Linked DNA regions of Astyanax mexicanus. The protein of the gene in region 1 binds, or shares a complex with, the protein of each later gene. Links are inferred from orthologs where the notes say so. Each region holds a gene or a part of one and is shown on either strand. Other genes may lie near its edges. The genes, in order: camlg and get1.

Region 1 (12,810 bases):
AGACCGGTTTTAACTGCAGATGGTTAATGCTGACCACAGTCACAACCACTCTCAAGTTGTGCACTAAAACGGTCTATTTCCCAATTCTGAGAAGATGTTTCCCCACCTATTTTGGGACTTGTTAGATACAGTAGCCTAGCCTGTCTGCTTTAGTGCTAATATGACATTATAAGTGGGTTTTAATGCTTTTGTTGAAGTCTAAGCCTAAATTATTATCTATAAGTACAGTAGCTATGTAGCTCCAGTAAAAACTGAAGCATATTTGTGTGCTATAAGCTTAGATATTTGTTGCTAGCTAAATTAGCTACATAGAACTGGTGCCGTTCAAATACTTGCTACATCGAAATTAGCCAGTGCTAATGTAACCAGATAACTGAGGCTCATAAGTTATATAAAACTTTAGGCTCATATTTCCAGTACTGGTTCCATCAGTCAATTATTTAAGTAATAATTACTAAATGCTAGGTATATGCTAGATAATAGGTATTTGCTAGTTTTAAATATTTGTCACAGTAAAAGCTCTAAATATCCTTTATAGCTATAGCTACATTAGCCCTATAGCAGCCAAAGTGGCATTTACAAGTGGGGTACTCAGGATGTAAGCTGATACACAAGTTTACAAGATGTGTGTGTTGTTTTTGATTGCTCAAGGGAAGGATTTATTTACCAGAGAGAAAACTAGTAAATACAGATTCACTCCATTTTGCCTGTTGGAAGATCAATTCACAAAGCATGGAGAACTGTACAATATTCCAAAACAATGACATTGTCTACAAACACTGTGAAATATCCAAATAAATAAATTACTGTATATTATATATATTATATATTATATTATAATATTACTATAAGGAGCACCGTCAGAGCGCCTTTTAATCGAGTAAAGCCTCTCCACTTAAATACAGCGTTATAAGGGTGATTTTTCAGTAAAGTTTCTCCAGGCTGGAACAGTAAAAGCATTAGCCAATAACTGGCTGATAGGGCCCGGACTTACCATAACACTCAGGGTCTCTCAGTGTAGCACTGTCGAGCACTGCTGAACACAGCCTCTAAATACGGTAATATTATTCTGCTAAGTGTTAAAGTGAAATTACATAAAATATAATGAAAAAACAAAGAGAAAAATCTCACTGGTAAATAATGTTTCAATGCAATTATGATTTAAAAACAATCTCAAATAAAGCATTATATGCCAATGATCTATTTTGCCTTTTTTAACTCTTAAGTTAAGTTAAGTAACTCTTAAGCTTAGGTTTTTAACCATGTATTTATTATTATTACAATGTAACCTTCTGCTAATTTATATTAATTTACTGTTAGTATTGTTTTTGATATTTTAAAGATTTTGGTTTGTGGCGCAACTTTTTACTTTAGCCTTGTAGTTAACTGGGGCACATATGTGGATTATAAGGTGGGATATAAAGTCCCATTACATTCTCAGCAGTGCTAGCCTACCTGGTTGGGTTTGTGCTGCTGAATAATGCTGGTTGCTCTCTGAGTGAAGAGCTCGGTAGAGAAGGAGCCATTGTAACCCTTAGCAACCTGCTCCCCATCCCTCAGATCCAGGGCACAGCGAGTGACATTCAGTGGAGTGATGTAAGAGCATCGCTGATGGGTGAAATAATCCTCAGAACCGGTTAGGTATCCTGTAAGTCAAAAAGGAGAAGCAAAGAATCAAATTTACATAATTTCACAAAGTACTATCAGTCAGGACAAGTGTGAGTTTTATACAGGATCTTAGAAGAGAAAGCTAACAAGTAAAGGTAGCGTATGCCTAAAGTTGCAAACTTTAGAAGATGTACCAAGCCCAATTACATATGGTGCAATGGGGCTTGTACACACACACACTCTTTCCACTTGCAGTAGGTATTTTCCCCATGTCACTTTCTATTTCTGTAAACGTCCTTGTTTAGATGCAAACTGATCTTTTAGGAAAGTCTGTTCACTCTGCAGCCATTATCTTCATGCCTACTAGACCAGCCATCCATCTTTTTAAATAGGTAGAGAATGATATACTGAAATCTGTCTCAATGATGCACATGCATATCCTGGCTACTGCGCTTGTGCAGATCTCCACATTGAGAGGGGGATCTCCTTCTAGAATGCTGACCCTCCCTTGATCATAGTTTAAGCAGCATGCTGATGGGCTTATACCTAAACCATAAACAGACCCAATGATGAGCATAGAGAGAAATTTATATTTTTATGGAGTGGCAAATCAACTGAGGGAGAGAAGCAGTAGGATTTATTTAAATAAAAAAGCCTTTATACGTTTAACAGGATGATTCTGTATTACACTATCTATGCAGTTAACATGGTGCTATCATTACACACTTGTGTTAAATGGATATACTTTTATTTTACAGTTATTAGCAGGTTTATTCAGATACTTAATGGGTACTATTCCCCTTAATGTGAAATGGACAATGTAAATAGGAACATGGCGAATCAGAAGATAACTTAAATTCTATGTCACTTCAAACCATGTTGAAAGATCTCGAACAGGTGCATGTGATTTTTGACTCTGTATGTACAAACCTGGACGAAACTACAGACTATATTCAGAATTAAAGCTGTCGTTAGCTGTATTAGCAATGCATCTCTGGTACAGCACTAAACTTTAGACAACATACCATTACATACTCTAGAGCCAACCAAAATGCATGACAGGAGTGATGCCCAGTCTCCAGTAGCACCGTAAAAGTGTCACAGTACTGTAAGTTTTGGCTTAGAAGTGGATAATAATATCATCAACATCCACCCACCGAAGTAGGAGTCGAAACCACGCCGTGTGGGCAGGCACTCTTTTCTGTACATGCCCAAATGCCATTTGCCCACCATGTGGGTGGAGTAACCTGCCTCCTTCATCAGCTGTGGCAGCAGCTTCTCCTCCAGAGGGACGCAGTACGGCTGGCACGGCCAGATTATCTGGTGCTGCATCCCTGTGTGAATCTGAAACAGCAGAACAGTGAAATAATAGGAGTATTTACAGTATAGCAGTAATAGCAATTATACAGAAACAGTAGTAACAGTAGTATTAGAAGCAGTAATAGCAATTGTACTACTGTACTAATGGTAGTAGTAGCAGTAATAATGGCAGCAGTAATGGTAGCATAAGCAGAAAGATAAGATAAGATAAGTAAACAGGGGATAATGCACATAATCCTTACTAGGGTTTCAAAATATTGGAAAAAAATAACATTGCGATATTTTGTGGTTCTTACTGATATATATATATAAAAAAGAAAATACAGGTTTTTCATAATATTCATAATATAAGAGAATCTGTGTGTCAATGATTGGAGTAAAATAAATGCCATAAGATAAATACAGTAGTTAATCTGGCACCTACTGTCGTGCAAGATGAGAACAGTGTGAAAAAAAAAATCCTTGACAAATCCTTGCACATCTTGCAGTGAGACTGTTGCACATGTGTACATTGCGATATCAATGCCGAAGCAATATATTGTGCAGCCCAAACCCTTACTCTTGCAGAGCAGTACACAGTAAACAGTTATATTGCATATAGTAGACGGTTGTATTCAACATGACTTTACAGTAGAGACAGTAAAGTTTGGTCTGCAGAGTGAGAGAGATGTAGTTTCACACCAGGAAGTTGTGTCAGGGCAGTTGTTTTTTGCTTTATCCAAGCGAGTGTATATTTATCTATAATTCAGCTGTTTGAGGTGGATTTCCAATATATTTGTGAAAGAATCTGAATTAGGCTAACACAAGGCTAATTTAAGCTTTTGACTATGAACATGTTTGTTGGGATGTATATAGACATTACTTCCGTAGGTGTTATAGTAATACATGTAAGAGTAGTGACAGCAGTAGATGTTATAGAATTACTTGTAAGAGTAGTGACAGCAGTAGCAGTTAAAGTAATACTTGTAGTAGTGACAGTAGTAACTAGCTGTTGTAGTTATTAGAGCAATACAGCAGCAGTAGCAGCACTGACAGTGGTTGTAGTACCTGTTACATTATTACTGTTACAGCAGCAGTTGCTGTAGTAGCTGTTACAGCAGCAGTAGCAGCATTAACAGTAACTACCTACAGTAGCTGTTACAGTAATGCAGCAGCAGTAGCAGCACTGACAGTAGCTAAAGCAGCTGTTACAGCACCAGTAGCAGCACTGACAGTAGCTGTAGTAGCTGTTACAGCAGCAGTAGCAGCACTGACAGCAGCTGTAGCAGCTGTTACAGCAGCAGTAGAAGCACTGACAGCAGCTGTAGCAGCTGTTACAGCAGCAGTAGCAGCACTGACATTAGCTGTAGTAGCTGTTACAGCAGCACTAGCAGCACTGACAGCAGCTGTAGCAGCTGTTACAGCAACAGTAGCAGCACTGACAGTAGCTGTAGTAGCTGTTACAGCAGCAGTAGCAGCACTGACAGCAGCTGTTACAGCAGCAGTAGCAGCACTGACAGTAGCTGTAGTAGCTGTTACAGCAGCAGTAGCAGCACTGACAGCAGCTGTAGCAGCTGTTACAGCAGCAGTAGCAGCACTGACAGTAGCTGTAGTAGCTGTTACAGCAGCAGTAGCAGCACTGACATTAGCTGTAGTAGCTGTTACAGCAGCACTAGCAGCACTGACAGCAGCTGTAGCAGCTGTTACAGCAACAGTAGCAGCACTGACAGTAGCTGTAGTAGCTGTTACAGCAGCAGTAGCAGCACTGACAGCAGCTGTTACAGCAGCAGTAGCAGCACTGACAGCAGCTGTAGCAGCTGTTACAGCAGCAGTAGAAGCACTGGCAGCAGCTGTAGCAGCTGTTACAGCAGCAGTAGCAGCACTGACATTAGCTGTAGTAGCTGTTACAGCAGCACTAGCAGCACTGACAGCAGCTGTAGCAGCTGTTACAGCAACAGTAGCAGCACTGACAGTAGCTGTAGTAGCTGTTACAGCAGCAGTAGCAGCACTGACAGCAGCTGTTACAGCAGCAGTAGCAGCACTGACAGTAGCTGTAGTAGCTGTTACAGCAGCAGTAGCAGCACTGACAGCAGCTGTAGCAGATGTTACAGCAGCACTAGAAGCACTGACAGCAGCTGTAGCAGCTGTTACAGCAGCAGTAGCAGCACTGACAGTAGCTGTAGTAGCTGTTACAGCAGCAGTCGCAGCACTGACAGCAGCTGTGGGTTCAGTGTGTGTACTGCAGTCTTACCTGGTACCTGCCGGTCATTAGTTGGTTCCTGGACGGGGTGCAGAGCGGCTGGACATAATACCCGTCCAGCCGGACCCCCGCTGCAGCCAGCCGGTCCAGTTCCGGGGTCCGGATCTCAGAGCCGCGAAAACCCACATCATTCCAGCCCAGATCATCCGCAAGTACGAAGACCACGTGCGGAGGAGAACCAGCTCCCCTACACACACTCACACACACACTCACACACACTATCAGGGTCTTTACCCAAACCTGCACCATCATACCCCTCTACACTCAGCACCAACACACACTCACTACTTCCTCATACTGTCCCGCGCACAGTCTGCTCATCTCTCTCACTCGCACTCTCTCTCTCTCACACACACACTCACAAGCGGACGGTTGGGGAAGTGTCTATAAAAGTACAACAAGTCTGCCCCTTCACTACATTACCCACAATCCTACGCTTACTTACAGGCTGATCACTCGACTCTGCTTGCTTTACACTGTATAAATACAAATACAAATACAAATACAAATACAAATAATAATAATAATAATAATAATAATAATAATAATAATAATAATAATAATAATAATAATAATAAGTATTAAATATTAAACATAATAATAAATATACTAATAATAATAATAATACATATTAAATATTAAACATAATAATAATAATAATACATATTAAATATTAAACATAATAATAATAGCACGTTTCACAGCGTTTTTATAATTTTTTTTATAAAATTACTGCAACTGCAACTGTTAAATTTGTTTACTACATTGTATATAAAATAATTTTATTATATTAATTATATTATAGAAAATCTACCATCAAACTCTACTGGTTTTGCTCTTTTCTAGATTATCTTCTTTTTCTTTTGTTAAACAACTTTTATCTTGATGTGTATTTCTTTACAGTGCATCTGTGCATTAAATATTCCATATAATTAACGAAATTTACTTTATATTTTTTTATTTTACTTGAATCTCTCTACTTAGTTCGTGTTTTTTTAATTCGGTGATTTAATCACCTTTTCGCCTTTTTTATTTTGAGTTCATTTTTTCACTAAGAGGACTTTTATTGTAGCTGTGCCGCCATTGCGCTGAGGGCCTGCAGTAGTGTGGTGTTTGTGTGCGCGCAGAGGATCCCGGAGCAAGGAAGCGGAGCGAGGATAAGGCAGTTAAACACAGGATTATTAAAGCCCCCGGAGAGAATCGGACCACCGGGAGCCGTAGGAGCGATTGGAGCGGGCAGAGAGGGGATGGAGGCCGGGGACGAGGCGAGCGGCCGCAGCGCAGCTCAGCGCCGGGCGGAGAGCAGGCGGAGGAGGCTGCTGCAGAACTCCGAGCAGAGGATGAACAGAATAGTGGGCTTCGGGAAGGGCGACGCGGATAGCAGCGGTCAGCACATTCATACAGAGAGCACATTTACACCCTAAACCAGTTAATGAACCGGGGAGGCCTGCTTATTCCTCAGGTAGTTACTGGGATTTACCGGTCTGCCTTACATGGTGCAGAAGGTAACTAACCCTGCTCCATTCAGGCGCCCCAGTTACTCTATCTCATAATGAGGAGTCAAATTCAGCTTAATCCCATTCAGCGCTTAGGGCTGGGCGATATGGCCGTGAAATAATATCACGATATTTCAGGGTGTTTTTGCAGTAATTCTTTTAAATACATTTCAAGAGTATACTTCTGCAACAAAATACATATAAATGTTTTATTTAGTACAAATTTATTCAGCTGAAACAAAATCTATAAATGTCTATTTTCTAGACAGTAGTTTACCAAGACTGTAGTGTTACAAAATTAAAAAAGGTAACAGAAATAATGTAATATAAACACAAACATCTACCACAGAACTTAAGTCCAGCTTAGTTAGTGCCTACATATAAACTGCAAACTATTAATAGAACAGTAAATGGCAAAACATAAAAAAATGATTGTGTATGACAAAATATAGCACACCCCTACTACACACTGTCCATTCCAACAGTATAGGAATATCCTTACTAAGGAGTGAATTGTGTTTTTTTTAAGGTGCACATATTGTTTTTGCCTTCTTGTGTTTGTTATAAACAACAAAACAACGTCTGTGAACACAAAGGAGTTTTCTAGGCTGTGGTTCTTTATGGACATGAAAGCTGTTCACACTTGAAAGTAACAATAATTATTTAGAATAAAATTAAGTTATTTTAGTATTTTTATTATTTTTTATTATAATAAAAAATAATAATACTTCTAATAACACTAATAACACTTTCTAATACTTTTTATACTAATAATACTTTAATACTAATAATACTTTCTAACACTTTTTTTTTTTTTCTAATAACACTTTCAACTGTTTCCCTTTCTCCGTCTTTCACATAGAAGCCCGACACACGATGGAGCCTCGCTTCCACCTAGACCTGGACCCAAATGATGCCTGGACGCCACCGGTGTCTTCTAAGCGCCTCTCTCCATACATCTCTGAGACGGGTGGCAGCAAAAACACAACCCCCAGCAGCACCCCTGAAAGGCGGGGCTCTCCCCTGCCGGACAGCAGAGAGGACCTGGGGGAGGATGACCTGTCCCGTGGGGTGCGACAGCGGCCACGGGGAGAGCTGTCCAGTGATGAGCACTCGCGCTCTCCTCGAAGGGGCCTGCAGAAGTACCTGTCCCGCTTTGACGACGCAATGAAGCTGCGGGGTCAGCTAGCGAACGAGAAGGCGGCACAGGACAGCAGCTCTGACCCGGAGGAGCTTGACCCCTTCCGTCTCTTCCGGCTCACCGGGAGTGTCCTTTTAGCTGTCTTTGTACGCATCTTCGTCTGCCAGTACTTGGTGAGTTGATGTTCTGAAAGAAATGCAGTTTGTTGTCAAAATGTGGAATTGTTTTAAAACTAGAGGAGGGGCGTGTGGTGTTTTTTTTAAACAGAACTTACAGAATCGATTCACTTTTTCAAAGTACTCAATAACCTTGGAGCTACCTGCTGGATTAAACACAAACACAGTTTCAATATTGATGTTTTAAAAAAAAAAAAAAAAAAAAAAAAAGAAAAGAAAATCTTGCTTTGGTTTAGAGGCAACTTTCCCTAATGGGGTAGCCAGTCTAATCCAAAGAGAGCCAAAGTCCTCCCACTGGGCCGAGTTTCGCAGTCAAAGCTATCCTCTATGGATTCGACTGGACACTAAGGCCTCAGATGAAGCTAAAATAGCTTCACAGAACATTAGGTATGCACGTTCCCTAGGTGTTTATAAATCCACTTTGTTTTTAGATTAGAACTGGTTGTATGTATATAGAGTTTAGATTACTCATTATTTTGTATAATTGTATAGTATAATTGTGCTATTATTAATTGTTCTGTTATTCTTTGTGCTATTATTTCATTTAAATCATGATAGCGTATAAACATTAATTGATATTACCATTGTTATTGCTTGTGTTTATGTGATGGTTTACTTTCTTTTTTGCAGTCAATATTTGCACCGTTTCTCACTCTGGAGCTGGCCTACATGGGGTTATACAAGTACTTTCCAAAGGTGCGTCATTACATCACGTTCAGCAATTTAAAGCAGTTTAAAGCTGATCTATCTAATCTCTGTATTACTCCAGGCTCAACGTACAAAAAAATCACAATGTAACTTGGGCTTTCTTGTCCAGAAATGCATTTGTAAACCCTGTCCAGTAAAAGTGACTTAAAAATCACTTTCCAACAAAAGCAGGGAATACCAATCTTCATCTCCACCCACTACACGTAGACTGTGCATTATAAACAGTCACACAGTACCCAATAACACTCACGCACTCAAATCACTCAATAAAAAAAATCTATTCAAACACCAATTATTTATTAGTGTCAAAAATTTACGGTTACATTTTATGTGTTTCTGTTGCGTTGTTCACAGCAATGTAATTTGGCCTCCTCCACACATCTGGATATTTTTTAAAACAGTTCGTCTGCCTCTCATCCACAAAAAAAATCATTTTGTGTTAACGTCTCTCTTTATGAGGGATGTTTACCCATACAGGCTAGCATGCTTATTCATGCTTATTCAAGTGTTATTCAAAGCAGACATTGAGGAAAGCGGCTGACAAACAGATATGTAGCCATAAAATGTATACAAGTGGGCAGAGGTTTGTGTTTATCAAATATTTTGGTTCTAATTTAAGTGGTTATTTAATATTTGTGATTTTTCTGTTTCTTTCTCTCTCAGGTGGAGAAAAAGTCAAAGACCACTGTCCTCACTGCTGCCCTCCTGCTGTCCGGCATTCCGGCTGAGGTCATTAACCATTCCATGGACACTTATCGGAAAATGGGCGACGTGTTTGCCGACCTCTGCGTGTATTTCTTCACCTTTATCATGTGTCACGAGCTCATCCTCTTGTTCGGGTCTGAGTCATCGTGATGGGTGGAGCATCGTTACAGTATGAAGGGCTGAATGCTGCCTGACCCTTTTACTTGTGCCGCTTTGTGAGCAGTTTTAGACCTTTCTCCTAAACCAACCCAGCGGCCTCTGAGCTTCAGAGCAGACCAGTGGGAGAAAATAATTTATTCTGAGCTGTAAAAATCTGTTTAACTTCAGCTGACGACACTAAGCTGGTTACCACACTGGTCAATAGCCGGTCACCAGCTCTGCTCCTAGAGAGTTCACTCTAACCCCTGATCCAGTCTGACCCAGACCCACACAGGTCCCCCTGTGTGTACGGGATCAGGAGCAAAGTTGGTGACTGCTGGTCAGCAGTTTATGCAACAGACATCTCATTCATAAAGCTTCTTTGAGCAGGAGAGCTGATCTGGGATCTGTCCCCCTGCTCATTTAGGCTATCTAGGCTGAGACTGAAATGGATCCCTATCTGAGATTTGTGGCACACTATTGAGTACTTTAACTATTTACTTTAAAAAGTGGAACGCTGGTAAGAATGGCGAATCATGCTACTTACAGCAGTCAGAGTCAGAGAGAGCATAGCTGGTGATGGTTTCTCTAAGGGTTGGTTGATGGCATTTTATCCTCTCATCAATTCCAGTGTGGTATCCGTGTTAACTGCCTGCATTGGGGGTAGTGACTGACTTTACAAGTATCTGAGGAGGCATGTACTGGTCCTCATGCTCCTAGTGTTGTGGGCATAACTAGTGATGGGGGAGTTCATATGAATGGGAATTAGATAATAGGAAAATTTGATATTTGAAATGAAAAGTGGAATTTCAGAGCAACCTGTTTATTATTAGTGAACAACAGGGATCACCACAGCAGCTGTGGCCAACAGTGGCCCCAGAGTAACAAAAAATAAAACTATAAACACAACAGCTTCAAATATAGTAGCTAGAACTGGCTGGGATTGCTGCTAACACTGGGAATGCTAGTAAACCCAGCACATGCTTGTGAGTACTGCTGAACCCTGTGAATTTTGCTAATGTTCAAAATGCTGCCAAAATCCCCAAGCACCGAGGAACACTAGTGAACCTGATAAACTAAGCAATCACTGGCGAACACTGCTAATCCTTGTTAACGCTGCAAATGCTGCAGAACCCTGTGAATGCTGGTGAAACCAGAATGTTCTTTCCAACAAAAATGTACCTGGCAATTGATGGTGAACCCACTGTTCGTGGATGAATCTGACAAATGCTAGTGAACCCAACAAACACTAGTAAATCCTCCTAATGATGTGCAGGCTAATGATGAAAATGTGTTATTGAACTGAACACTTTCTCCTGTAGAGACCAACTCAAATAAAGAAGTAGGGATCAATTTCAGCAATGGTCACTACCTAGGTAAAACCTTACTTCGAAGTCTGCTTCCACCTTCTTTCTGAGACACACTCCAGCTAATCGACTGCTCTGGTAGTTCTTGATTACCTGCCCAAGTGCTGCACAGTGTGGTTTTGGGTATGGTCGGTGTGAAGATATTTCTTTCTTCAATTCTTTGTGAATAAGACCTTGATTTTTTTTTACATTTTCAAATGCGTCATATACAGCAGCCCATCTCCTGAAAACAGTTTGATTTGAAAAAATAGTTTGTGGTTTCACACATGAAATTCCATTATCCCACTTATTTAGTCTCCACCTTTTTAGCTCCGCCTATTGAACCTAAAGAATTTTAGCTTCACCAATTAAAGGTCAATTTATACTTCTGCGTCAAGTCTATGCGTTGTTTAAAGTGTAGCTTGCGTAAGAGCCAGCTGTGCGCGTTTATACATATGTTTGCACGTGACCACATCTCTGCATCACTCAGCAGTATTAACCGTGGAGGCGGGAATGTTTGGGTGGCTCAGTGGACCAATTAGAGCTGCTGTTGCCCATTGCATGATGCGCGTAGTTACATTTAGCCCCACTTAGTCACCCTACAAATAGAGTGGCCCTACCAATACATTTTTCAGCAGTTTTGCCTTGCTCATTCAGGAACAGCATGTTTAGCCCCACCCATTCACTCTACAAGCATTTTAGCCCTACCAATTCAGTTTACATAAGTTTAGCTCCACCCTTTTAGCATTCAACAGTTAAACTCCACCTATTGAGCTTACAGCATTTTAGTTCAATTCATTCATCTTACAGCACCTTGGTCCTGCTCATTCAGCCAAAAGCAGTGTAGCTCTACCAATTCAGTCTACAGAAGTTTAGTCCCTCACATTTAGCCTGATGCTTTTGAAAAAGACACAACACTGGGCATTTAATCAGGAAAGAGTTATTTACATTTCTCAGTCTTAAAGACACAGTAACAAAAGCAGCCTGTTCATAATTTTTTGATCATTTTATTAATAAAATATGATTTATAAACACACATATGTTATGAGTGGGGCTCTGAAGAAAAGGAGGAAATGAGCTCTTTAATAATAAACAGATTAATTAATAATTAGTCAAGCTGAATTCAGAAAGCTAAAGAAGGTTCAGTAGACAGGACAGTAACCAGGACAGAAGATGTCCAGGAAGAGGGTCTGGAATGCTGTGTGTGTGTGTGTTCTGAAGCTATGAACTCTTTTGTTGGGTGCGTGTTTGTGAGTGTGTATGAAGTTCAGGTTGGCCTGTGTTGCATAAATGTAACTTCTGCACCGATTTAAGGTGGAATAAAAAAATATATATATAAAATGCTTCATCATACATCAACTTTATATTCATCTGCATAATCAGAACTCTCCAGTTTATCGACTGGTTTGGAGTATGTGTACTGCTGCAATATCCTGGCTGTCTCTCTGTCGCCTATTGTGTAAATTCTTGTGTGACTTTTAAAAATTAATTGAAATCGATTCCGTTTTAGAACATCAGTGTTTTCTGCTCTAAGCGGTTTTAACCTGATTCTGATTATGTTTACAGTGATTCTGTGAGATGGTGGTTGTTGTAATAATTTGTTATTTATGCTGTGGGTTTCTTTTGATATGTAATTAATCTGTACGAAATTGTAACCAATAAAATGTGAATAAATGCTGCAACTTGCTACTGAAAACCTGAATATTCTTCTGCTTGTTGTCCAGAATACAAAATATCACTAAAGGTACAATAAAGGTAATTTAATCTCAGCATGGGTCTCTTTTTTCAGATAAACAAATACATTTTTTTTTCAAAAGCCAATAAAATTTCAATTTCAGGACCGCAGTTCTAGGACCCTATGTTTTCGCGGCACTGCCATCTAGCGAAATAAATGACTTACTACTCCTTAATATAATATCAACACTTTAGCTAA
Region 2 (13,073 bases), on another chromosome or scaffold:
TCTTTTTCTTGGAAATAAATAAAATATCATGCTTATGTACACAGTTTTAATGTTTTAGCGCATTTCACAACAGAAAATAATAGAAGGAAAGAAAAGTAGATCTCGGTGTAATAGCTATATAATGCTTTTAAAGATAATTAATAAGAGCAGTTCAAAACGCTTTACGGTGTAAAAAAAACAGAGCTCCGACAAGCTCAGGAGCTCGGATCTGCAGTGAATTACTTTGGACTAAGTCTCTTCTAGCCTTTCAAGAGCATTGGCTGAAAAGAGTTTAAAATTATTCAAGTACGTCTCGCTGCAGCCTGTAGGAAGGCGGAGTTGGACACCCAACTCCGCCCACATCCAACCCCGCCCACATGTGCTCTTGTACGCCAACCCCCCTAATTTTTTGTTCAAGAAGCACTGTGTGCCACGTGAAATACGCATATAACGCCGATGTTGCGCTAAATTTACGCATATCTTGTGAGTAGTTCCACCACGTAGCCTTGGCTACAGCACTACACATGCTGTAGTGTAATGCACAGATATCACAAAAAATAGGCTATATATACAGTACCAGCCAAAAGTTTGGAAACACTTTCTCATTCATTTTTGGTTTAACATTGTAAACAAAGTAATACATAAGGAATCATGTGAACTTAAAAGTGTATGATTTTATTGTTTTTCTTATATGGCATGCTGCTAACTTGTGGTTTATGAGGCTGGTAACTCATTCTGTGTAACAGAGGGAACTCTTGCTCTTCTTTTTCATCACGTGTGCCATTTCTCCTTGATTTTATACAATAAGCAAATAATTGCATACAACGATTTGCTGTTTCCAAAAGATCAATTGCCTCTGTCCTGTATATCACAATACATTATACATTAATCTGTCCCACTCACCAGCAGAGTAAGCCATTATTTCACTGCATTAATCCTTACATTTAAATTTGTTAAACTAGTTGCCAGAGTGTGTAGATTTTATAAATTTATTTTAGACTGGTAAATATCTCCAGAATTATTGATTAGCTATCATAGGAATCATTATTTACTTATTATATAAAGTTAAAACTTACGATATACAGTTTTTGGTTATGTTCCATATGAAATAAAGAGCACATTATCAATCATGGCTTTGCACTGATAGAGGCTGGTCAAAGGGTGCATCTGATTATTAAAGTGTTTGATTGTTAGATCACACCTGTTCTCTGTACTGTAATGCTCTATACTTCATATTACAGATAGACAGTGCTTCTTATCACTAGTGATGGGCAGATGAAACCTCATTGGGTGTATGGCACATTTCCCAAACTGTATCGACACTGTGTTGAAACTGTGTTGCTGTATCACTTAATGGCGACATCTGCTGGACTAAGAAAGTCATTGCAAGAAACTGCGCGAGGAAATGCATCGGTCACGTGGTTTTCCTTAAAAGGATACGCGGTCTGACACAGGGGATCGCCTTGTTTGCTCGGTGCATGCGCTGAGGTTCCAGTGTCGTCAGACCCATCGCTACCAAACGATACAGGAAGTGTATCGGTCACGTGGTTTTCCTTAACTTGATACGCGCACCGACACGGGGTTTCGCCTTGACAGCTCGGCGCATGTGTCGAGGTTTCAGGGTCATTAGACCCATCACTACTTATCACCACTCAGCAGGGGGGAGGCTATTTGTGTCATAGGCATAGCTAATATATAATAATGATATTAGAAGTAATTCTGCATCTTCACTGTCAACAGGGTGCTGAAAATATTACAGATGAGAATGACACAGCTGCACTGTATAGCATACAATTTAGGACCACCACAGAGTGGCTTGTTGGTTATTCACAACACTACAGTGACACTGACATAGTGGTGTTAAGAGCTGTGTTGGTATGAGTGGATCCGACAAAGTAGTGCCTCTGGAGAATTTAAACACCTCATTGTCACTACTGGACAGGAAATGCTCCATCAACCAGCATCATGTGGGCAGCGTCCTGTATTCAGCATCAAGTAGGCAGCATCCCATGGGCACTGATGAAGAATTTGCAGATTTGCAACAAACTGTGCAGCAACAGATTTAAAGATTCTGTCTCTGACTTTTCACTCACAATGTAAAGCAGCTGTTGGTAGAAGTGTCTAATAGAGTGAACAGTGTTTTATACCTATTGTATATTATACACCAGTAAACCATTATGCAACTAAAGTGTCCTAGATGCTAATTGGAGCTAAAAAAAAAGAACAATAGAAGCAGAAACAAGCAGGTGGTAATAATGGTATGCTGGATAGTGTACAGTGAGTCCAAGAAGTATTTGATCCCTTGCTGATTTTCTTCGTTGGCCCACTAATAAAGACATGATCATTCTATACTTTTAATGGTAGATGTATTCTTACATGGAGAGACAGAATATTAAAAAGAAAATCCAGAAAATAAATCTAAGGAATATATATTAATTGATTTGTATTTCATGGAGTGAAATAAGTATTTGATCCCTTAGTATTCATTAGCAGTTCTGGCTTTTACAGACCAGTTAGACACTCCCAATCAACTTGTTACCTGACCTGAAGCCACCTGTTCTCACTAATCACTTGTGTGAAAAACACCTGTCCACAGAATCAGACAGATCACACAGATTTCAAGTCTCCAACATGGGTAAAACCAAAGAGCTGTCACAGGACCTCAGAGTCAGAATTGTTGACCTTCACAAAGCTGGAATGGGCTACAAAAAGATTAGTAAGGTGTTGGATGTGAAAGTAACAACTATTGGTGCAATTATCAGAAAGTTTAAAGAGTATAACATGACAATCAACAGACCTCGGCCCGGTGCTCCAAAGAAGATTTCGCCTCGTGGGGTGGCAATGATGCTGAGAACGGTCAGAAATCGTCCTGCAACCACTCGGCAGGAGTTAGCAAATGACCTGAAGGCAGCTGGGACCACAGTTTGCAAGGAAACAATTGGCAACACTTTGCGCAACAATGGATTCACATCCTGCAGTGCCCGAAAGGTACCCCTGCTGAAGAGAGCACATGTGGAGGCGCGCCTCAAGTATGCCAATGATCATTTGAAAGATGAACCAAGTTATTGGGAGAAGGTTTTGTGGTCAGACGAGACCAAAATTGAACTTTTTGGCCTCAACTCCACCCGCCATGTGTGGAGGAAGAAAAATGCTGCCTATGACCCCAAGAACACTGTGCCCACCGTCAAGCATGGAGGTGGAAGCATAATGTTTTGGGGGTGTTTCTCTGCCAAGGGTACAGGGCTACTTCACCGCATCACTGGGAAGATGGATGGAGCCATGTACCGCACAATCCTGAGGGACAACCTCCTCCCCTCTGCCAGGGATCTGAAAATGGGCCGTGGTTGGGTCTTCCAACATGATAACGACCCTAAACATACAGCAAAGGCAACAAAGGATTGGCTCAAGAAAAATCACATTAAGGTCATGGAGTGGCCCAGCCAGTCGCCAGACCTCAATCCGATCGAAAATCTATGGAGGGAGCTGAAGGTCAGAGTTGCCAAGCGACAGCCCACCAACCTTCATGATTTAGAGAGGATCTGCAAAGAAGAGTGGGCCAAAATTCCCCCTGGTGTGTGTGCTAAACTTGTGGTTAACTACAACAAACGTCTCACCGCTGTGCTTGCAAAAAAAGGCTTTGCCACTAAGTATTGAGTGTGTTTGGCAAGAGGGATCAAATACTTATTTTCCTCATTGAAATACAAATTAATTAAAATATATTCTTTAAAATTATATTCTGGATTTTTGTCTTGATATTCTGTCTCTCCATGTTAGAATATATCTACCATTAAAAGTGCAGAAGGATAGTGTCTTTATTAGTGGGCAAACAGAAAATCAGCAAGGGATCAAATACTTCTTGGACTCACTGTATAACGATAGAGTACAATATATCAAATGCTGTGGTTTCAGAAATTAAAATATCATATGTATACAAAGCTATTTTGTCAATAATAATAATAATAATAATAATAATAATAATGATATCCCTCTCCTGCTTCTCCTCTCCCAATTTTGTATGGCTGACAGTAGTTCCCAGGGAAATTAACTCCATTTACAAACACTTTGTCCAAGCTAATACAATATCTTTATTGGCATTTATTGGCACACTAGCCTTTAAAATGTTTGGTTACATGCTTTGGTCAAACAAATACAGAAGTCTTTATTTAAAAATGCAACACCCAGCCACTCACACACCCAGCCACTCACACACCCAGCCACTCACACACCCAGCCACTCACACACCCAGCCACTCACACACCCAGCCACTCACACACCCAGCCACTCACACACCCAGCCACTCACACACCCAGCCACTCACACACCCAGCCACTCACACACCCAGCCACTCACACACCCAGCCACTCACACACCCAGCCACTCACACACCCAGCCACTCATGAAGCTGGCTGCAGAATCCAGGGTGCTCGTTTTCGCTGTAAAATGCCACAAGCTCCCCTCGTCTCCCATGCCCAACGTACCCTGTAATATAAGTAAAAGCACACACTTTCACAAAGTAACAATCTCTCAAGCCCCAATACCTTAAATATATTGACTTACCAATTTCTGACCTCAGGAAAAAATTATAAAAATTTATTTAGAACAAACATACCCAGTATGTAGTCTTTATAAGTTTCTTGACAGTTCTGGCAGCACTGCAGTTCGTACATCCTGCGAAACTCGTCTTTACATGCAGCACTGTGATGTTTTCATGGCACTACACCTGTAGGTTTAAAAAAATCAAGAATTTTAAAATGATTTCAAAATCAGTAAGTGTAATTCCTTTTCTAAGGGAAAACAAACATCTTAACTGTACTGAAATATCAGTACAAAGGTAATAAATGTGCATCGACTTAACCCTCCTGTTACGTTACGGGTCAAATTGATCCATTTAGTAAGATAGTAAAAGTATTTTTTTCTGTATGAAACGTCTTCAGCTTGCCTTTATTTGTATAATTAACATATAACATGAAAATGGTTAATTTCATATTTGCAACAACCCCCTGCAAAAACTAAAACTAAAACGAAATTGTAATGTTATGTTTCATTTATATGTAAAAATATTGTGTTGGTCGTTTAAAAGTAACAAAGTAGTAAAACAAAAAAAAAAGTAAGATTTTTTAAAATGGAAAAACAAGTGAATTATACTAATTGAACTATTGCCTCTATTGTACACTATTGTACTAAATGTTGATAGAACAATCAGCAATGGAGTTAGTTATTAAATATTTACTCTTCTGGTTAGGATTGTTTTGGTTTCAGAAATATTTTGGATAATTAAAAATGAACCAGGTCAAATTAACCCGGGAATACCATTGCTATTCCTGACAAATTAAATAGGAGGATTAAGCATTGATATCTTCAAATATTTATTTGTATGACTAAGACTTTGAACCAATTTTAGTTAGCTAGATTATCTTGCTATCTTGTTAGCCAATTAACTTCTTGTATAGACAGTTTAAACAGTTTTTTAGGTTAGCTGACTATAACCCCTATGCCTTAAAAACAAAACTGATGCCTAGCTCACTACTAGCTATGAGAGTTTATCTGTGATACCATTCATTGGTAGCATTTTAGCCCATAAAACAGAAGGTAAGATAACTAAAGTTTGAATTAGACAAGACTGGGTGCAATTCTGCATTAGAATCCATAAAAAAAAAACGGCAATATGACTAGCTAGAAGCAAACAAACCACATGGTACACGCGCCGAGGTAGAACCTTCATGTGCGTATCAACGACTCACCGTTTATTCATAAAATATAATATAGAAAAACAAGAGGACATTATAAAAATAGCTCTGTTAACTTAAAAAATAACTCAATATTTGTACTTACCGCCATAACCGGAGATATAAATCAGATAGATGATTTAGCTGCTTTCTCGGCTACAATTCCTGTTTACCGGGAGTAAATGTAGGCGTTCGTGACGGACGTAAGGTGGGTGTTGCTTTAGACGTAAGGCGGAGTTGGACATGGGCGGAGTTGGATGTGGGCGGGGTTGGATGTCCAACTCCGCCTTCCTACAGGCTGCAGCGAGCGGCTCCTCAAATTATTGGCTTTTAAAACCGGCAGGTGGAGCTCTTTGTCTTATTATTAAACGTCACTTTTTACGGCGCCAAGAGAGGAACTAAAACGCCGCTTTATTTGCACTGAGACGGCGCTTTGTACGACGCGCCAATAGGGTCTTTTTGTGCTTTTGTTGCCAGATTGTTACAGTGAGATTCAGATAAAATCATGTCACTGAGTAAACTGGGTGACTGGGTGAAAAACACTGGGTGTTTCCGCCCAAATGCTAAAAAAACCGGACAAACAGCTGATGTTCAGCATATCAACAGTATTACAGGTTTTAGTACAACATGATCTTAATAAAATAAAATACCCAGATAGCAAGCATACGTTGGCTCAACGTTGGCTCAACGTCATTGTTTACGTTGGCATGACAAGGCCTTGTCTTAAATATCACAAATATATATTTAAATGATTTTATCTGCATGTGTGTTAAATATGTGTGCAGGTTTACAACCTGCAAGTGTTCGTGTTAAGCAGTTTACAATACGAACTGTCTGCTTCAATATATTATTTTTTTATCCATTTAAATACATGTAATTAATTTATTGACCTCTGACACGTCCCCAACTGGGAAATTCGGGCATTATCTAAAATCCGAGTTCCCCATTAATACGAGTTTGTGGTGGCGTCCATGTGCTCTCTATCTCGTAGCACGATATTTCCGACACGACTTCAGCCCTTTCACACAGTTCAGCCCTTCAGCTGTTCATGTTTAAGCGAGCAGAGTGAGCGCATGATAATAATGAGGGAGTGTCCGAATTCATTCCTGTGTTTTACTACTTCGCAACTTAGTGAACTGTCTCCCTCTATTGAGGTACACATGAGGGAGTGGGGAGCCATTTTGGCCACACCCTGTACGTTTAAATCATAAGTCCGATTCATTACAACGAACCGGCTCATCCGAAGCGAATCGGTTCACGAATCGGGTGAAGTAGTTCATAAACAAACAAAATGGATTCCACGTACAACTGGCTCGTGGTGCTTAGCTCTGTGTTTCTGTGTAATCTCGTTAAAACATTCCTGCCGTCTATTTCCTCCTTTGTAAGTTTACGGTTTGTCTATTTCCTCTTTTGTATATCCCTCATAAGTACAGGGTTCTTACAGAACAGATAGTGCTGACTGAGCGGAGTATTGTGAATATACTGCTGTGGTGCATCAGCGTTCTTTCACAGCTTCATTCAGGAGCAGCGCTGATCAAATCCAGCAGCTGCCCCAGTCTGATAGAGATAATTCCTGTTGTTGTTGTTATGTAAGTTTATGCTTTCTGTTAGCCGATACATGATACTAAAGAAGGAATTAGTTAAAAACCTGATATAAAGGGTAATTTGCTCGACGAGATTGAATTTTACACACTGCTTTCAATATATCAGCATGTAAATCTTTCGAGGTTTTAAAAGTTAACTTAGTTTATAAGTTCAAATCCTGTTCATGTAGCTTGCCATCAGCTGCAGGAGCCCTGAAAAATCGAGAAGTGTATAGCTGCAGCCTGGAGCACCTCCAAAGGGGAGGAACATACCTCCAAACAGGCGGAGCCTACATCCAAGTAGGCTGGTGCTTGGTGTTACGCGGTATGGTGTTTTTCACGACGTTTTGTGCTTGTAAATAACCCCAAAGGTTAATTAATTAATCAATTTCGTTTATTAAATGTTTATTTCTTTTAAAATGCATTTTCTAAGAGTCTAAAAGCATGTTGTGCACATTGCAACCACATTTTATTTATTTAAAACGTTTAAACATTTGCCATGCTGTGAATTTTTCAAATTATAAAATAGTAAAGATCTAAATAATAAAGGCAGTTGTTTATTCATAGCCAATAATATTATAAATACATCCACACTGCACGTATTTTATTATATTGACATTTAAGAAATATAAATAATCATTAATTGTTGACTAATATATTTATTGACATCCATGAGCCTTTTAACCACGGAGGACTTTTTTGTGGCGTTTGGCAGAGAAATGGAGCTGTGCTGAGTGAGGTCTCCCTGCCTTACGATGTAGACTTTTATATAGTATAATATAATATAATGTGATAGTACATTCTATATAACATTTACTTTGATGTAATAGAATAATAGTAATAATAATAATCACGGAAGACTTTTTTTTATGACATTAGCCGGAGCCGTGGTGAGAGAGGTCTCGCGCACAAACGCTCCCAGTCTCCAGCCCTATACTGTTGGTGGACTTCCCACTTGGAGGTAAGCCCCTCCCCTTTGGAGCTGTGGACCTCCCATTTGGAGGTAAGCCCCTCCTTTTTGGAGGTGCTGCAGTCTGCAGCAATACATACTTGGAAAAATCACTATTCGCCTTGCTCTCTCTGGGTGGGTAGATGGCGCTCTTTTCTCCTCATCACTCCTTGAGGGATGTTGATCAGCACAGGGCATCTCTGAGCTGATGTATCAGAACCGAGTCGCTGCACTTTCCTCCGAGTGCGCTGTGATGCTACTCCTCAGTGGAAAAGAGGCGAAATCTGACTTCACATTTGTCAGAGGAAGCATGTGTTAGTCTTTCCCCTTCTGGTGTTGGGGCAACACTAGTGAAAGTGTCCTAATGAGTGGGTTGGGTAATTGGCCTTGTAAATTGAGAGAAAATAGAAAATAAATTGGGATAAAAAATTATATAAAAAAAGTTGGAATAATGTTTAATTAATATATAATTACAGCACTGTGGCTCAGTGGGTAGCGCTGTCGCCTCACAGCAAGGGTTCGATTCCTGGCTGGGGTAGCCCATGTCTTTCTGTGTGGATTTTGCACATTCTCCCGTGTCTGTATAGGTTTCCTCCCACAGTCCAAAAACAACATGTCCAGGCCAATTGGGTTTTGGTTGAAATTGCCCCCTAGGTGTGAGTGAATGTATCAGTGTGTCTGTCTGTGTCTAACTGCCCTGCAATGTATTGGCTAGAATATCAGAAGAGCTTCCACCCCAAGTTCTATGGTACAAAGTTTGAAAAGGTTGCCACTGGCTATTTAAACTGTTATTATTAATGCATGAACATTCATTGAAACTTTGGGCAACTAAAGACTTTTTCTCAATTTTAAAAAGAATGATAAAAATGTTTTGAAAAAGTAGCTACTAAAAGCATGCTAAACTCCTATAAAAAAAAAAAAAAAAAAATAAATATATATATATATATATATATATATAATATATATTTTTTTTTTTTGCATTTTGCATTTTATATATATAATTGCAGACACTATTAACCTGATATATTTCATGGTTTGTCTGGTAAACTTTCATTCATTTTATTTAATTCATTAAAACATTCATTTCTGCATTTCAGGCAACATAAGGCTGGAAAAGTAAGCAACACTAATAATCAATGCAATGGGAGCAAGGCTGTCTGTCAGTATTTGATTCTGGTGATCTTCTGCATTAAAACAGGCTTGAATTGTACTGGAAATTACTGCATGGCCAAACATCTTTGTCTGTGAACACAGTGCAGTCCACAAAGGAAGGTTAAAGCTGGATGATGCAGGAAAAAGCCATTTGTCAGCTTGCCTGTTTTAATGCAGTGCACCCTGTGTGTCCAGCTTTCAACAATGACCTTAAGCCATGGAAGATTCTACTATTGCAGAAATATATTTTTATTTTCATTTACATTTTCCATACTGTCTCAACTTTTTCTGAGCTATACAGTGGTTAGAAAATTCTCTATTTTTGCAAGAATCTGACCTAAATATTTATCTAAGAGACCTAAATAGATGGAATAAAATTTGGAGATGCACCAAAGTAATAATGTGGTCACAATTTCTATATGGAGAATGCAAATGGCAATGTGCTCCTTTTTCTTTTCAGTCCAGACATGAGTGATTACTGAAATTGTAAGGATTTAAATCAAAGACCTAGTCAGAGAGCACTAGCACAAAGCCAGCATTTGGTTTTAAGAAACAGATGGAGGAAACTGAAATCCAAAAATAGAGTAATAATGTATGCCAAAGCATTTTGATTACATTAGTCGCTGTAAGACAAATTAAAAAACAAAATAATAACCAGGAGGGCTATCAGCATGGTACGCTAGGGGTGTCATGATTCTCTAAATCCTCGATTCGATTTTATTTCGATTTAAGGGTCACGATTCGATTCGATTTTCTTTTTTCTTTTTTTAACAGCAGGGAGGCCTATGGCAGTTTTAGATTAGTGATCTGTAACACTCCACAATAGGCACTACTGGTCAAATTAAAATAATTTAATTAAGATATATATGTAATGCCAGCTAGTGTTTTTTTTTGTAGCAGCAGTGTGCACTATTAAAACAGCAACATAAAATAAATAATAAAAAAATACAGTGTGCTGCGCTATTTGCGTAGCGCGTGTGCGCTTGCGTACCTTAGAGAGAGGGATCGTTGATCATCTTTTTGACTTCGATGCTCGAGACCGGGACATAATTTTGCTCGATTTCAATAAAATAACGAAATCGTGACACCCCTATGGTATGCTCACAGTCATGTTCATTCAGGTCACACACAGAGTAGAGGATCAGACAGCACAGTGGTGATGGACACCGTCTCAAGCAGCACAGTAGCGGTGCCCGAAATTTCACACAATCAGCAGAGCTTCAGGCAGCACAGTGGTGGTGAACGTAGTCACACACAAAGCAGAGGATCAGGCAGCACAGTGGTGGTGAACGTAGTCACACACAAAGCAGAGGATCAGGCAGCACAGTGGTGGTGAACGTAGTCACACACTCAGCAGAGGATCAGGCAGCACAGTGGTGGTGAACGTAGTCACACACAGCAGAGGATCAGGCAGAACAGTGGTGGTGAATGTAGTCACACACAGCAGAGGATCAGGCAGCACAGTGGTGGTGAATGTAGTCACACACAGCAGAGGATCAGGCAGCACAGTGGTGGTGAATGTAGTCACACACAGCAGAGGATCAGGCAGCACAGTGGTGGTGAATGTAGTCACACACAGCAGAGGATCAGGCAGCACAGTGGTGGTGAACGTACTCGCACACACAGCAGAGGATCAGGCAGCACAGTGGTGGTGAACGTAGTCACACACTCAGCAGAGGATCAGGCAGCACAGTGGTGGTGAATGTAGTCACACACAGCAGAGGATCAGGCAGCACAGTGGTGGTGAACGTAGTCACACACTCAGCAGAGGATCAGGCAGCACAGTGGTGGTGAATGTAGTCACACACAGCAGAGGATCAGGCAGCACAGTGGTGGTGAATGTAGTCACACACAGCAGAGGATCAGGCAGCACAGTGGTGGTGAATGTAGTCACACTCAGCAGAGGATCAGGCAGCACAGTGGTGGTGAATGTAGTCACACACAGCAGAGGATCAGGCAGCACAGTGGTGGTGAACGTAGTCGCACACACAGCAGAGGATCAGGCAGCACAGTGGTGGTGAACGTAGTCACACACAGAGTAGAGAAACAGGCAGCGCAGGAATGATGGACACCATCTCAGGCAGCACAGGAGAAGAGGATTGGGCAGCACAGTAGGGGATCAGGCAGCACAGTAGGGGATCGGGTAGCACAGTAGAGGATTGGGCAGCACAGTAGAGGATTGGGCAGCACAGTAGAGGATTGGGCAGCACAGTAGAGGATTGGGCAGCACAGTAGAGGATTGGGCAGCACAGTAGAGGATCGGGCAGCACAGTAGAGGATCGGGCAGCACAGTAGAGGATCAGGCAGCACAGCAACAGATCAGGCAGCACAGCAGCAGATCAGGCAACACAGCAGCAGATCAGGCAGCACAGGAGAAGAGGATTGGGCAGCACAGTAGGGGATCTGGCAGCCCATTAGAGGATTGGGCAGTGCAGCACAGTAGAGGATCAGGCAGCACAGCAGCAGATCAGGCAGCAGACTAAAGGTTCAGGCAGCACAGCAGCGGATCAGGCAGCAGACTAGAGATTCAGACAGCACAGTAAAGGGATCAGGCAGCACAGCAGCAGATCAGGCAGCAGACTAAAGGTTCAGGGAGCACAGCAGCAGATCAGGCAGCAGACTAAAGGTTCAGGCAGCACAACAGCAGATCAGGCAGCAGACTAAAGGTTCAGGCAGCACAGCAGCAGATCAGGCAGCAGACTAGAGATTCAGACAGCACAGCAGCAGATCAGGCAGCAGACTAAAGGTTCAGGCAGCACAGCAGCGGATCAGGCAGCACAGCAGCGGATCAGGCAGCACAGCAGAGGATCAGGCAGCACAGCAGAGGATCAGGCAGCACAGCAGAGGATCAGGCAGCACAGCAGAGGATCAGGCAGCACAGCAGAGGATCAGGCAGCACAGAAACGGATCAGGTAGCACAGTAGAGCATCAGGCAGCACAGTAGAGCATCAGGCAGCACAGCAGCAGATGAGGCAGCAGACTAGAGGTACAGACAGCACAGCAGCAGATCAGACAGCATAGTAGAGGATCAGGCAGCACAGTAGTTGTGAACGTAGTCAAAACACAATAGAGATTCAGGAAGTGTAGTAGTGGTGATCTTTATCTTGCGCACAGCAAAGGATCAGGCAGCACAGAAGTGGGAATAGCGTTGCCCAGGCAAAGAATTCACTATTTTTACACCATTATCAAGCTCAAAGTAGCTCCAGACTTAACTATGAGGCCCCTGACATTTACATAATTTTAATTCTACCAATTTAGTGTGTAGCTGCTTTGAGCCTTGTACATTTTGTACAAATTGTGATTTCATATATGAGCAACACTATACCTCTATCCCTAGCATTGTAATCCTGTTGAGAGCATTGACTAAAAGTCCTGTAATTTGTAATGCAAACTAGGTGCACTATTCAACAAAAGCATGTTTGTAAGCGTGTTTCAATACAACCCAAGTCCATTTCACACCGGATTTTGGGGGGGCCCCAGCTCCATTTTCCACCTTCAACAACTTGAAAAGCTATAGGTTTATGTTTGCGCAAAATGAATATTGGTGTTTTTTTGAAGCATTGAAGGTTTAGTGCTTTTTCAAGTCTGTCTGTCTGTCTGTCTGTCCGTCCATCTGGATGGATGGATGGGTGGATGGATGGATTTTAAAAAGTCTATCAGGAGAGGTATTGCACATTTATTATT

What was found.
Region 2: camlg (region 1) and get1 share a complex: the UniProt entries of both Homo sapiens proteins name them as parts of the golgi to ER traffic (GET) complex. The link is inferred for Astyanax mexicanus from reciprocal best matches to the Homo sapiens genes CAMLG and GET1.

Annotation. Positions count from the first base shown.
Region 1 is NC_064424.1:33,508,998-33,521,807, reverse strand, and holds camlg (calcium signal-modulating cyclophilin ligand), read left to right. Parts: upstream 1-6,235; 5' UTR 6,236-6,414; coding exon 6,415-6,553; intron 6,554-7,525; coding exon 7,526-7,977; intron 7,978-8,610; coding exon 8,611-8,676; intron 8,677-9,351; coding exon 9,352-9,543; 3' UTR 9,544-12,646; downstream 12,647-12,810. Other genes in the region: arylsulfatase B, read right to left, coding at 1,456-1,646, 2,766-2,952, 5,159-5,419. UniProt on the Homo sapiens protein: Required for the post-translational delivery of tail-anchored (TA) proteins to the endoplasmic reticulum.
Region 2 is NC_064411.1:24,684,393-24,697,465, forward strand, and holds the start of get1 (guided entry of tail-anchored proteins factor 1), read left to right. Parts: upstream 1-6,940; 5' UTR 6,941-6,996; coding exon 6,997-7,086; intron 7,087-7,479; exon of another isoform or gene 7,480-7,613; intron 7,614-8,167; exon of another isoform or gene 8,168-8,249; intron 8,250-13,073. UniProt on the Homo sapiens protein: Required for the post-translational delivery of tail-anchored (TA) proteins to the endoplasmic reticulum (ER).